Sus scrofa: one gene and its partners. The main gene of each other region encodes a partner of the protein of the gene in region 3 in a complex. Links are inferred from orthologs where the notes say so. Each region holds a gene or a part of one and is shown on either strand. Other genes may lie near its edges.

Region 1 (4,192 bases), on a different chromosome or scaffold from region 3:
GAGGCCAGGGATCGAACCTGGGTCCTCATGGATGCTAGTCAGATTCGTTTCCGCTGAGGCATGACAGGAACTCCCTTTTTCTTTTTTAAATCGAGACTAGACAAAAATTGGTCGTTAACAAAAAAATCTGTCATTAACCTCTCCTACCAAGCAGGAAGCTTGTTGAATTTGGTGCTGAGCCACAAAATAAATGGAAACAAGGAGCATCCGTATGACAAGTACTGTCCTCAAAATATACGTATATTGAGGGCAATTATATCCTCAGAGAGTAAGAAAGCTCTTTTTTTTTTCCATTTTTTTATTACTCAAATGAATTTATCACATCTGTAGTTGTATAATGATCATAACAATCAGAAAGCTCCTTTTGAAGGCAATCTCTTTACCCCAAGTTCAGAATAAGTAATTTTTCAGGGTAATCTACACACAGCAAGCCCTAGGCATGGGGTAAACCCTGAGTTTGGGAGTCCTGCACGGACTCACTAGCAGAATCTGGGCAAGATACTCAGTCTCTCCCTAAACCTCCATGGGCTTCCAGGTAAATTCAGGTTAACAAAGAAGGGACCGCTGGGTCGCGAGGCTTGAGATGGTTGCGGATGATGACAGCAGCAAAAATGTCCACAAGTGCTTACAGGGTTCGAGGCTCTAGTCCCCACCCTGTCCAAGGACACCTCCTTGAGCATCACGACAACGCACACACAACACAGCACAGCACTCCTAATGCCTCTGGGATAGGCACTCACCAAGTTCACTGTCGGGAGACAGAGGAGGAAAGGAGAAGGTCAAGTAACCAGCCCAGGCCACTTGCCCACGAGGCGCAGCCAAGGCTGTGACCCCAGGGGACTTAACCCTGGGCTTCTGACCACTGTGCTGTGCAGCCTTTCCAGAACAGTGATGCTTGAACAAAGGCTTTGCCACATTGGTTGAGTGACCCGGGGCAAGTTTGGGGACCCCTCTCTGACTGTATCCTCTGCTATGAAAAAACGATGACGCCGCCAACTGTGCTCCCTGGCAGGGTTGTTGAGAATGAGATACCTGAGACTCTTAGCCGTGTGGGCACACGCTTAGCTGTCAACATGTATCAGTGACTATTATTGGCCTGCTGTCTTCATCTTAAACTGTGTGGTCCTTAGTTTCAATCTACCCCCTCTGGTGTGGCCTTAAGTTGGGAATCACCCTGCAAAGGTGGTCAGTGAGCATTTAATCAGAAAGGCCACTCCCTGAGCACCTCTCCAGGGGAACTGACAGGTCTGGGGGGCTGCTCTCCCATCAGCTAGGAGTGTGTTAGAACACAGACCCACGTGGAGTCCACAGCCATCGTGGCCCGTGGCCCCAGGAATCTGTTTCAATAATCTCCCAGGAGGTTTTCCACATGCTAAAGTATCTGATGCTTTGACTACTGCTGTCATCAAACTGGAGTCCGAGATGAGTTTTCACTGGTGAAACTAGTGGTGTTCAAGATATGGGGTTTGACCAGAATATTCCAGACACCGCCCATCCTCGCACAGACAGGCCATGAGAACAGTGAAGCCTGCTGACAGCATGGTTAGGAAGGATTATGACACACTCCTGTGTCCTGCCCTGGGTTATATTTGTTCCTACCTGGCACAGGCCAGAGTAGCAGAGACCTGTCGGTGGAAGACCTTAGCTTCTGCCTGCATAAACTTTTAACCCAAGGTACAGCTGGGTCAGCTAAAAAAAAAGCAGAGCTAGGACTTCATTTATTTACGGTTTTGTGCCTGTCTGTCCAGGGCATGGCAGAACCAGGTCTCAGCATCTGAGAGTCACTTTTATTAGTAGGTGAGTCGCTAATAAGGCTGAAGAGCAGAAACTGGCCTCGCTCAGCACAGACTTTCTCCAGCTGTTTGCCAAAGAGAATCCATGAGATTTAAGTCTGCTGTCACATCAGCCATCAAACAGAATGGGTCCCTCCTCCAGGATTTAGGTCAAATTCCAAAGGGCTCAGAACTTCAAGTCAAACAGGTCAAATAACAGTCAATTCAAGTGTTTACCATTGCCAGGCTCTGTTCCAAGAGCTTCGTCTCATGTCACTGTCATAGTATCCATGCCATGTAGACATGACTGTCATTACCTTTTCATGAAGAAACAGTCACAGCCTGGCTAAAGCAATGGCTATTAAGTGGCCAGCTGGGATGCCAACCTAGGCAGGGGCATTCTTAACCAGGATGCATCTAGGTGTCTTCAGAACTCTGTTTTAATAAGTAATTCTGTTAGAAATAAGTAAATTAAGTAATTTATAGGTTCAAGGGAACTTGTTTTAGTACCGACTAGGTGAACAAAGTTTATTTTCAAGAGAGACGGGACAGCATTTCACACTCTAGTGAGACATTATTCTAGTTACACTCTGGACCGTAAATATTCAGAAAGGGGGCCTGACTCGTACCTTGGGGCGTCTCGTAGGTCAGCGTGGACATCTGCACCACCGGGCCGTCCTCGAAGGGCTGGTCGTACTGTAGGAGACGAAGGGGCATCTCGTGAGATAGGAGGGCCGAGAGCAACCCCTGACTCTCCTTAAGAAGGCAGCAGTGCGAGGCTGCAAAACTGGGGGCCCTGAACCCTGCCTCTTTCTCCCATCCCGTCCCCCGCCCTCCTCCTCTACCCACCCCCTAGCCCCGCCACGGCCGCACCTTCTCTATCAGCTGCTGCATGCGCCTTTGAAAGCGGCGGCGGCTGTCCCTGAGCTTCTGCAGGAGCTCGTCCTCCCCGCAGACCTCCCCCTCCATGGCGCGCCGTTACCCAGGACCCAACTCTTGCAGTAAGCCGGGCAAGGGACAGGCTCCGCGCTGCCGTTCAAATAGCTACTCCCGCCCTTCCGGCCCGCCCCTCAGGTTTCCCATTGGCTAAACTGGAAAGGTCGGGCGCTGATTGGGCCTTTCAAACACGTTCGCTCGCCTTTCTCTCGGCCAATCCGTTGTTGAGGTTCTGGCCCCGCCCCGCCCGAAGCGCGCGCGCTGGGAGGAAAGGAGGGGTGGGAGCGCGCTGCCAAGCTTTGGAAGAAGGGTGACGCGGTCTCCCCTGCGGCCGTTTGCGTGCCTGTTATTCAGCAGTGCCACACGAGTATGATGTCCCCCGTCTTGCACCGGAGATGTCCGGGTGACTTATTCTGGGACTCGCGGCAGGTGAGGGTGGCCCCTTACCACAGGTGGGGTCTGGCCCCGCCCTGAGCCAGCTTCCTCTCCCCGCCCTTCTGGGCCCCTTGCTCAGTTAAGAAAGCCGGGGCCCAGAAAGACGCTAAGGACTTGCCAATGGAAAAGAATAGAAAAAGGAGCATGAAAGTGAACACGCATTTAGAAAGGAGAAATAGCGTAAACGTCATGATTCAGGAAAATACACTGTGGTATTTTTTATTAACCTGGTGCACCTTTTCCGTACATATTGCATACTCTGCTCCATTGATATTAATTTTGTAATATTCGTAGGGATGGAGTAGGATAGTTATACTCCATAGTTAGTTGTAGAAGCCCCAATAACAGACCACACATAGAGAGGGAAATCCAGGGAAATTTGGGAAACCACTGTAAGTTAATTGCTCAAGAGGACCATCAGAAGGAAGCAGACTTGGGAATTCCCATCCTGGCGCAGCGGAAACAAATCCAACTAGGAACCATGAGGTTGCGGGTTCAATCCCTGGCCTTGCTCAGTGGGTTAAGGATCCGGTGTTGCCGTGGGCTGTGGCGTAGGTCGCAGACGTGGCTCGAATCCCACTGGCTCGGATCCCACGTGGCTGTGGCGTAGGCTTGGATTGCTGTGGCTCGGGATTGCTGTAGGCTGGTGGCTATAGATCTGATTAGACTCCTAGCCTGGGAACCTCCATATGCGGCGGATGCGGCCCTAAAAGGACAAAAGACAAAAAAAAAAAAAAAAAAAAAAAAAAAAAAAAGGAAGCAGGCTTGCTTGACTAGTGGAGGCACAAAATATGCCTCAGCTGATGGGGTGAGGCCTGCATTTAGGTTCAGGCTGGCAGCTGCAGCCCAGCCAGAGAACTTGCATATGCTGCACCTATGGCTGTAAAAAGAAAAAAAATAAAAGATTGCCTCCGTTGTAGAGAGCCCCTCCCCCGAGGTCCTGCAACCCCAGGGCAGCCCAGATCACTGAATGCTGGGCCACTTCAGTCAGTGGACAATCTGATGGGCTATTCCAATTCCTGAGCTCTGCATGGAATCAGCTGAGGCAA
Region 2 (4,317 bases), on a different chromosome or scaffold from region 3:
AAAAAAAAAAAAAAAATGTATTATTACCAATATCAAATGTTTAGTAAGCTTCACCTTCACTTGGCCCAACGGGATATAAATGACCCCATCCCATGTGAAAACCTCTCTTTACTCCATTGTCTTTACTCAGCTCCTCTGACATCCTGAGCTGAGCCAAACTCCTGCCTCTACTAAGGCTTCCCTATCGGGGCTGCTACCTTCCCTGGCCTCTAATGGTTTTTGGATTGAATTATTCAGGAAGATGAAGACCTCTATTATATTTTAAGAAATGTGAGGCGTTCCCACCGTGACTCAGTGGTTAATGAATCCGACTAGGAACCATGAGGTTGTAGGTTCGATCCCTGCCCTTGCTCAGTGGGTTAAGGATCTAGCGTTGCCGTGAGCTATGGTATAAGTCCCAGGCGAGGCTCGGATCCCGAGTTGCTGTGGCTCTGGCATAGGCCCGCGGCTATGGCTCCGATTAGACCCCTAGCCTGGGAACCTCCATATGTCATGGGAGCGGCCCTAGAAATGGCAAAAAGACGAAGGAAAGGAAAGGAAAGGAAAGGAGGAGAGAGAGAGAGAGAGAGAGAGAGAAAGAAAGAAAATGTGAGAGCAGAGACTTTGTCTTAAACTAGTTTAATTCTTCCCAAATCCTGCCTAGTGCATTGTATCACAAAAACACCATTTTTTTTTATCTTATTGACATGCCAAATAAATACGACCATAAATTATGAGATAGAAATGTCTTTAAGAGTGTTTCTCACAGCCTGTTATCTTTGCAAGGTGCCTAAGGAGCAAAAGATTAAATCTATTTTACAGGTAGCAAACTAAGGAACAAAGACATCTAAGTCTGCATTTTATCATAAGTCATTTGATGGAAACAACTCAAGCACTTACGTCTCTTATCAGTACTCAGCAATTTAAAATAAAATACTTAAGTAAACTCCTGAGAACATTTAGCTAACTACCTTGCCTAATTTAAGTCACTCTTCTAGTGTCACACAATAAAATAAGAGTTATCAAACTTGCACACTGGATGTTTTTGAACATTAAATAACACCTGTAAAGTATTAAATTCCTCTTAATTTTAAATAGAAAAAATTCAAGGGTAAGACAGTTCTTTCACTGGGCAAATAGGAATCAAGCACCTACCACAGGGCCAAATGCTATTTAGGCACACTAGAAAACAAGTGGTGAACAAGACAAAGGAGGTCTCCTAATTCTAAAAGTCAGGACACAAAATGTTTTAACTTTCAAAATCAGTACACACTCAAAAGCTGCCAATTACAACTTATTTTTCACTCAATTTTCAATTTTAGTTTCATTCACTGTGAGATTATGTTTCTCAAAGAAAATAATATACGACCCAGCAGGGTCTCTGAACCCCAGCACTCCTGACATTAGGAGCTGGATGCCTCTGTTGGGAGAGCCTCCCTAACCTCCACCATCACATGTCCCTGGCAAGCCCTCTCAGGACAACCAGAAATTTTTCCTGATATCACCGAATGTCTCCTACAGGGCAAAATCACACCCAGTTAGAAACCTTAAAGTACAGGAATGAATGAGGATAATCTCTAACTCCTCGTTCTCAATTTTTTTTTTTTTTTTTTTTTTTTTTGGCCTTTTAGGGGCGCACCCGCGCATATGAAAGTTCCCAGGTTAGGGTTGAATCACAGCTGCCGGCCTACACCGCAGTCACAGCAACATTGGATCTGAGCCCCGCTGCGACCTACACCACAGCTCTCGGCATCCCTAGATCCTTAACCCACTGAGCTAGGCCAGGGATGGAACCCGCATCCTCATGGATCCTAGTCGGGTTCGTTACCACAGAGCCACAAGGGGGTGGGGGGTGGTTGCTGCACTAGCTGCTAGCTTAAAGATGGGCAATATTCATTGTTTACGGAAATGGCCCGCAATATGTTTTGTGGACACCTCTTTATACTCACAAGCATACGTATCTAACTTTATTACACACGTCAGTTCACCAGTGTTGAAGATTTTCTTAAAAGGGAGATCAAGTAGAAAATACAAGTTTAGGATAGGGGTTGATACGGGTTGTATAAGGTATAGCAACCATAAGCGAAGCTGAGAGTCCAGAAACACGTACACGATAAAATGAGTTCCCGCCCCCCTCCAGCCATTCACAAGCTTCTGCACTTTTAACTAGGGCTGCCCCTCTGAAAACTTTGTCCACAGCTGACGCCTGCTTCTCTAGCCCAGCAAGTCTGCAGCTAAGGCACATTTTTGAGGCGGTTCAATACTTCCATGAACAGAAAATTCTTGGCTGTCTAAGAGATGGAATGAGGCTCAAAAGGAGCAATCACAAGATTCTCCCAAGAAAGAGGCCCTCACATTGGGATTACAAGAAGTCTTGCGGAAACAATACCACCGGTCACTCGGCCTCTGAAGAGCTCCCGCGTCTTTCCCACTGCAGTACCCCCGGAGCCCTAAACTCCGCCTGCGGCTTCGCGCTCCTCGGCCTCGGCGCGAACGCCCGAGGCCTGCACTTACCAGCCCCCACGCAGCCATGTTGCGGCCGGTTCCGCCCGCGCAGGGCTTTGGGGAGGAAGTCCACACGGCCGCAGCTCAGGGCAGCCCAGCAAAGACCGAGTAACCAGCGCAGGAGCCAGGCGGGAACCCAGCAGCGCCGGACAGCCAAAGGCGGCGGAAGACACGGAAGGCGAAAAGCCGCGGCCTCAGGAGCTCGCCCAGCCGCACCCGGCGCCTTACGCAATTTAAAACGGACTGCACATGCGCAAAACGGACCCTTCGACTCCGGAGGAAAGCCGTTAGAGGCCCGCCCCCTCGCTTGTACTCGCGCGTCCGGCTTTCGCAGCCCCGCCCTCCCTACGTCCAACAGCCCCGCCCATCTCGTAGCCCCGCCCCCATCCTCGCGGTAGGCAAGCTTCTCTCTCTCTCCTCTCTCTCTCTCTCTCTGTCTCTCTCTGTCTCTCTCTGTCTCTGTCTCTCTCTCTCTCTGTCTCTCTCTCTCTGTCTCTCTGTCTCTCTCTGTCTCTGTCTCTCTCTCTCTCTCTCCCCGCACCTGCCCCTGCTCCAACGTGCAGAAGTAGTTTACTACTAAGTCTCGTCAGCCACACCCAGCTCATTTTGCATCTTCTCTGAAACGAACAATAGTATAATGATGATGGATCACATATTTTTTCAAATATGTGGGTAGGAGTTCCCGTCGTGGCGCAGTGGTTAACGACTCCGACTAGGAACCATGAGGTTGCGGGTTCGGTCCCTGCCCTTGCTCAGTGGGTTAACGATCCGGCGTTGCCGTGAGCTGTGGTGTAGGTTGAAGATGCGGCTCGAATCTCTCCTTGCTGTGGCTCTGGCGTAGGCCGGAGACCACAGCTCCAATTAGACCCGTAGCCTGGGAACCTCCATATGCCGCGGGAGCGGCCCAAGAAATAGCAAAAAGACAAAAAAAAAAAAAAAAAAAAAAAAAATGTGGGTAATGTTTTTGTGAGGCATTGGCAACAAAATGGTCTATGTAAGTGTTATCATTTAAGCATAATGTCCTGAAAGGAACCCTAAATCAAGAGTCTTGAAACCTGGATTAGCAATGTCATCTAGGACAAGCTCAGACCCTGTTCTGGCTGTTTCATTAGTTACATGATGCGAGAGTTAAGTTAGATGTTCTGAAGACTTGACCTGTTTGATGATTCTGTGAAACTATGTCCTACTTTTATGATTTAATAAAAATTTGCAAGGGAATTTTAATCAAAAAATACATTACCTTCTCCTTAGGTGAGGGAATAAACGCAAAAATAAAAAGTGGGACTATATCAGGCAAAAAAGCTTTGGCACAGCGAAGGAAATTATCAACAAATGAAAAGGCCACTTATTGTATGGAAGAAGAGATTTGCAAGCAATATATTCAGTAAGGGGTAAATATCCAAAATATACAAAGAACTCACACAACTCAACATCAAAAAAAAAAAAAGATTAAAAAAAATAGTGAAAGATCTGAATAGACATTTTTCCAGAGAAAACATATAGATGGCTAGTAGGCACATGAAAAGATGCTCAGCATCACTAATCATCAGGGAAATGAAAATTGAAATAATATGGAGAAATCACACATGTCAAAATGGCTACTATCAAGAAGATAATAATAAAAAATTGGCAAAGATGTGAAGAAAAGGGAGCCCTTGTGCACCATTGGTGAGAATGTATCTTGGTGCAGCCACTGTGGAAAACAGTATGGAGACCCCTCAAAAAATTAAAAATAGAACTACCATATGAGCAATTCCACTCCTGGGTGTTTAATCCAAGAAAAAGAAAAATACTGATTCAGAAAGATTCCTGCCCCCCCAATATTCATAATAG
Region 3 (3,169 bases):
TCACCCAAGAAAGAGAAGAAAGTAAAACTCCAAAATCATCAGCAACCGTGAGTGCTGTTTAGTCAACCGCAACAGCAAACAACACAGTCACCCTGTGAATCACTTATTCTCATGTTACCGGATACTCGAGGTGCTGAGAGCATAAATCCTGCCTGCATCTGAATGTGACACGTGACCATGTGCTGCAGGGCTGTCCTGGTTAATACAATTTTAAGAAAACAGAGAAGCGTCAATTTAAAGAAAACTAGGGGGTTCCCGTTGTGGCTCAGTGGGTTACAAATATGACTAGGATCCATGAGAATGTGGTTTGATCCCTGGCCTTGCTCAGTGGGTTAAGGATCCAGAGTTGCTTTGGGCTGTGTGGGTCCCAGATGTGGCTCACTTCTGGTGTGGTTGTGGCTGTGGCTGTGGCCGGCAGCTGCAGCTCCGATTTGACCCCAGCCCGGAAACCTCCATATACCAGCCACCCTAAACAGCACAAAAGAGAGAAAGAAAGAAAGAAAACTAGAGGAAGAGAATAATCTTCTGATTAATAACCCTCTGACATTAAATATATTCATAGACAGAGAAGCTTTATTCAAATGTCTACATCGAAGTGAGTTGAGGTTGAATGGGAAAAGGTTTTTCCAAAGGGTTAAAATTTACCAAACAACAGAATCCAGTGGTTCCCTTTCGTTGAATGACACATGATCGCTGGATTGCTGGTATCTGCCCCTCACGAATCATTTTTACCACACGCAAAATCCACAAAAATCTAAAAGTCTTTCTTGGCTGGTACTTCCATGTCCCTGGAAATCTCTTAAACCGCTTTCAGTCACAACAGAAAGGCCAGGTTTTTAATCTGCTCATACTCTGGGCCAGTGGAGGCCAAAAGCACCCCCGCCCCCAGTTCTCTTGTTTAAATTGCAGCCGTTGGCAAACAGTGTCCAGGCGAATAAGTCAGCGCTACCACAAGAGAACACAGTACAATCGCTGTAAAACAGTAGCACCGCTTCAATTTTTCTCATTAAAAAATTGCTTTTATTATTATTCTCTCTCCACAAAGAATTTATAAAAAAATACCTGTAAAAACATCGCAAAGGCACTTTAAAATCCTGGAATGAAACATTCTAACGTATAAACTATGATACATCTTCTCTGATTTTTCAAAGGAGAATAAAATTCCACGAGTGCGAATTTCTGAATGATTTTGATAGGAATTTACCAGAAGGAGCCAGGACATCAAACCTGAACGATTTTCTATTTTCGTCCCATTGAGTTTTTTGAAAAGCTACGATCTGGTGACAGGCACAGTGCACAGAGGAAGTGGCTGCTGCCACTAAGGATGAAATCAATCTGAAGGACAGAAAGTTGTATGCTACCTGAGTCAGGCTCTTCCATGCAACTGCCTGAGGTGGTCTTCTTTTAACTTTTCCCTTGTGTTTTAAATAAATGTAAATAGACATATGGTTAAAAAAAAAAAAAATTACATGGTACAGAAAGATCTAAAATAATCAATAAATATTCTTTTCTCCCATAACCTAGAACACCTGATGTCTTCAAAAGCATCCAACAGTCACATGAATAATTTTCAAAGTGACATCAACCTTGGAGTCTCTTCATCTGAAAAATTTTTCTCAGGGCTTGTGGAATGTGTTGATTCTCTCATACATCACCTCGGTTACAGAGGAAAGCCATACGGTCTTCTCCACCTTAAAAAAAACGAATTACAAAAGCAATGCGTGCACACAGCTCTGGGACGGCAAGTCCAGACGGCACCTCACACGTCCTCCGCGGATCTGGTCCTGCAACGGGCAGAGTCCTGGGTATCATCTCTGAAATTCAGGAATCACATTTATTAACAAGGCATTAAAAAAAAACAACTTTCTTTTAATCCAAATGAGGTCATCTGGTCTTTGTGAAGTGGAGAGGACTCCTCTGGCAGAGATGCACGTTGTCTGGTCATAAAGTCAAGGAGAACATTGTTCAAAAGAATCCCAGGCACTCAAGTTAAAACTTAGTCGGATCTTTTCCAGAGAACAAAGGGCAGGCGGGGCAGCAAAGGACCAAGGATGGAGAAGGCAAATTCCTTCAGAGGTGATGGGAGGCTGGGTGGTTTTCCCCCAAGTGCACTCATTCTCTGGGGGGGCAGGGGAGGCTTCCAGCGACACCGGCGGCGGGAGCTCAGCCGAGCCCTTCCTGAATGCCCCGGATCCTCCTGGCCAGCTGGATGTCCTTGGGGAAGAGAGTCACGCGGCCGGCGTGCAGGGAGAGGAGGTAGGCGTCCTCAAAGAGATGAACGAGAAACGCTTCTGCCGCCTGGGGACAGAGAGAGAGGTAGAAAGGCTGACACAGACCAGGGGGATGGAGGCGGGCAGGGGGCACCTGCTAACTGAGTCTCTAAGGGCTCAAAGGACATGGGAGAGACTGTTCGCCAGCCAGCATGAATCCACCCTTCAACCCCCTGGGTGTTCCCTGTTGCTCTTTGCTAGGAGGTGAGGCGTTCCTTTGTGGCGCAGCGGGTGAAGGAGCTGGTGTTGTCACTGCAGCAGCCTGGGTCACTGCTGTGGTTTGGGTTCGATCCCTGGCCCGGGACTTAGGAACTTCCACATGCTGCAAGCGGGGCCAAAATAAATAAATAATACATAAATAAAATAAAATAAAAAATAAAGGAGGTGAGATTCAGCGCTACCTTTCTCCCACATGCACCCCTCACCCAACTGGACCTGGGCCCCCTTCTCACCTCTTGTAGGGCCAGCAGGGCCTGGGCTTGCCAATTGAAATCCACACCACGAGTGAACTGAACACATATTTCTCGTGCCTGGGAAAGACGGGGGATGGCGAGCAAGCGAGAAGGGGAGCGGGGAGGAGCAGAGAGGAAAGGGAGATTCAAGAGAGGACAGCCTCTCTCCGTGAGTCTCCAGGAATCTCCGTTTCCGCTTTTCCTCCCCGGCCCTTCGTCCGAGGACCTGACTAGTGGCTGGGGTCAAGTCCAGGGAGCCTGGAGATGGCACGTCTCTTCTTGTGGGGGGTGGAGCGGAGGAGACCATGTCCCAGGGCGGGGCAAGGGATGAAAGGGTGGCTGGATGAGAGGGTTCGGGTTTGCATAATCAAAGGACATAATGTCTCTATAAAACTGGATTGTGATGTCATCGTACAACTATAAATGTAATGAATTCATTGGGTAATA

Evidence for each region. The genes of interacting proteins can lie anywhere in the genome.
Region 1: the proteins of CENPA (region 3) and HJURP are in contact, whole or in part, in a crystal structure (PDB 3R45), measured with the Homo sapiens proteins. The link is inferred for Sus scrofa from reciprocal best matches to the Homo sapiens genes CENPA and HJURP. Residues at the interface, in NP_001800.1 of Homo sapiens: Lys64, Leu65, Ser68, Arg69, Arg72, Asp83, Phe84, Asn85, Trp86, Gln87, Ala88, Gln89, Leu91, Leu92, Ala93, Glu96, Ala97, Ala100, Phe101, His104, Glu107, Asp108, Leu111, Leu112, Leu114, His115, Ile132, Glu136; in NP_060880.3 of Homo sapiens: Glu14, Asp15, Leu18, Lys21, Leu22, Ser25, Arg26, Arg28, Phe29, Arg32, Met33, Leu36, Lys39, Tyr40, Pro43, Phe44, Thr47, Pro48, Val49, Val50, Gln51, Met52, Ala53, Thr54, Leu55, Ile65, Trp66, Gly67.
Region 2: CENPA (region 3) and CENPC share a complex: the UniProt entries of both Homo sapiens proteins name them as parts of the CENPA-NAC complex. The link is inferred for Sus scrofa from reciprocal best matches to the Homo sapiens genes CENPA and CENPC.

Annotation. Positions count from the first base shown.
Region 1 is NC_010457.5:134,120,359-134,124,550, forward strand, and holds the start of HJURP (Holliday junction recognition protein), read right to left. Parts: upstream 2,806-4,192; 5' UTR 2,742-2,805; coding exon 2,646-2,741; intron 2,469-2,645; coding exon 2,402-2,468; intron 1-2,401. UniProt on the Homo sapiens protein: Centromeric protein that plays a central role in the incorporation and maintenance of histone H3-like variant CENPA at centromeres.
Region 2 is NC_010450.4:65,312,984-65,317,300, forward strand, and holds the start of CENPC (centromere protein C), read right to left. Parts: upstream 2,806-4,317; 5' UTR 2,512-2,805; coding exon 2,494-2,511; intron 1-2,493. UniProt on the Homo sapiens protein: Component of the CENPA-NAC (nucleosome-associated) complex, a complex that plays a central role in assembly of kinetochore proteins, mitotic progression and chromosome segregation.
Region 3 is NC_010445.4:112,263,361-112,266,529, forward strand, and holds the end of CENPA (histone H3-like centromeric protein A), read right to left. Parts: intron 2,801-3,169; coding exon 2,723-2,800; intron 2,299-2,722; coding exon 2,164-2,298; 3' UTR 552-2,163; downstream 1-551. UniProt on the Homo sapiens protein: Histone H3-like nucleosomal protein that is specifically found in centromeric nucleosomes. Replaces conventional H3 in the nucleosome core of centromeric chromatin that serves as an assembly site for the inner kinetochore.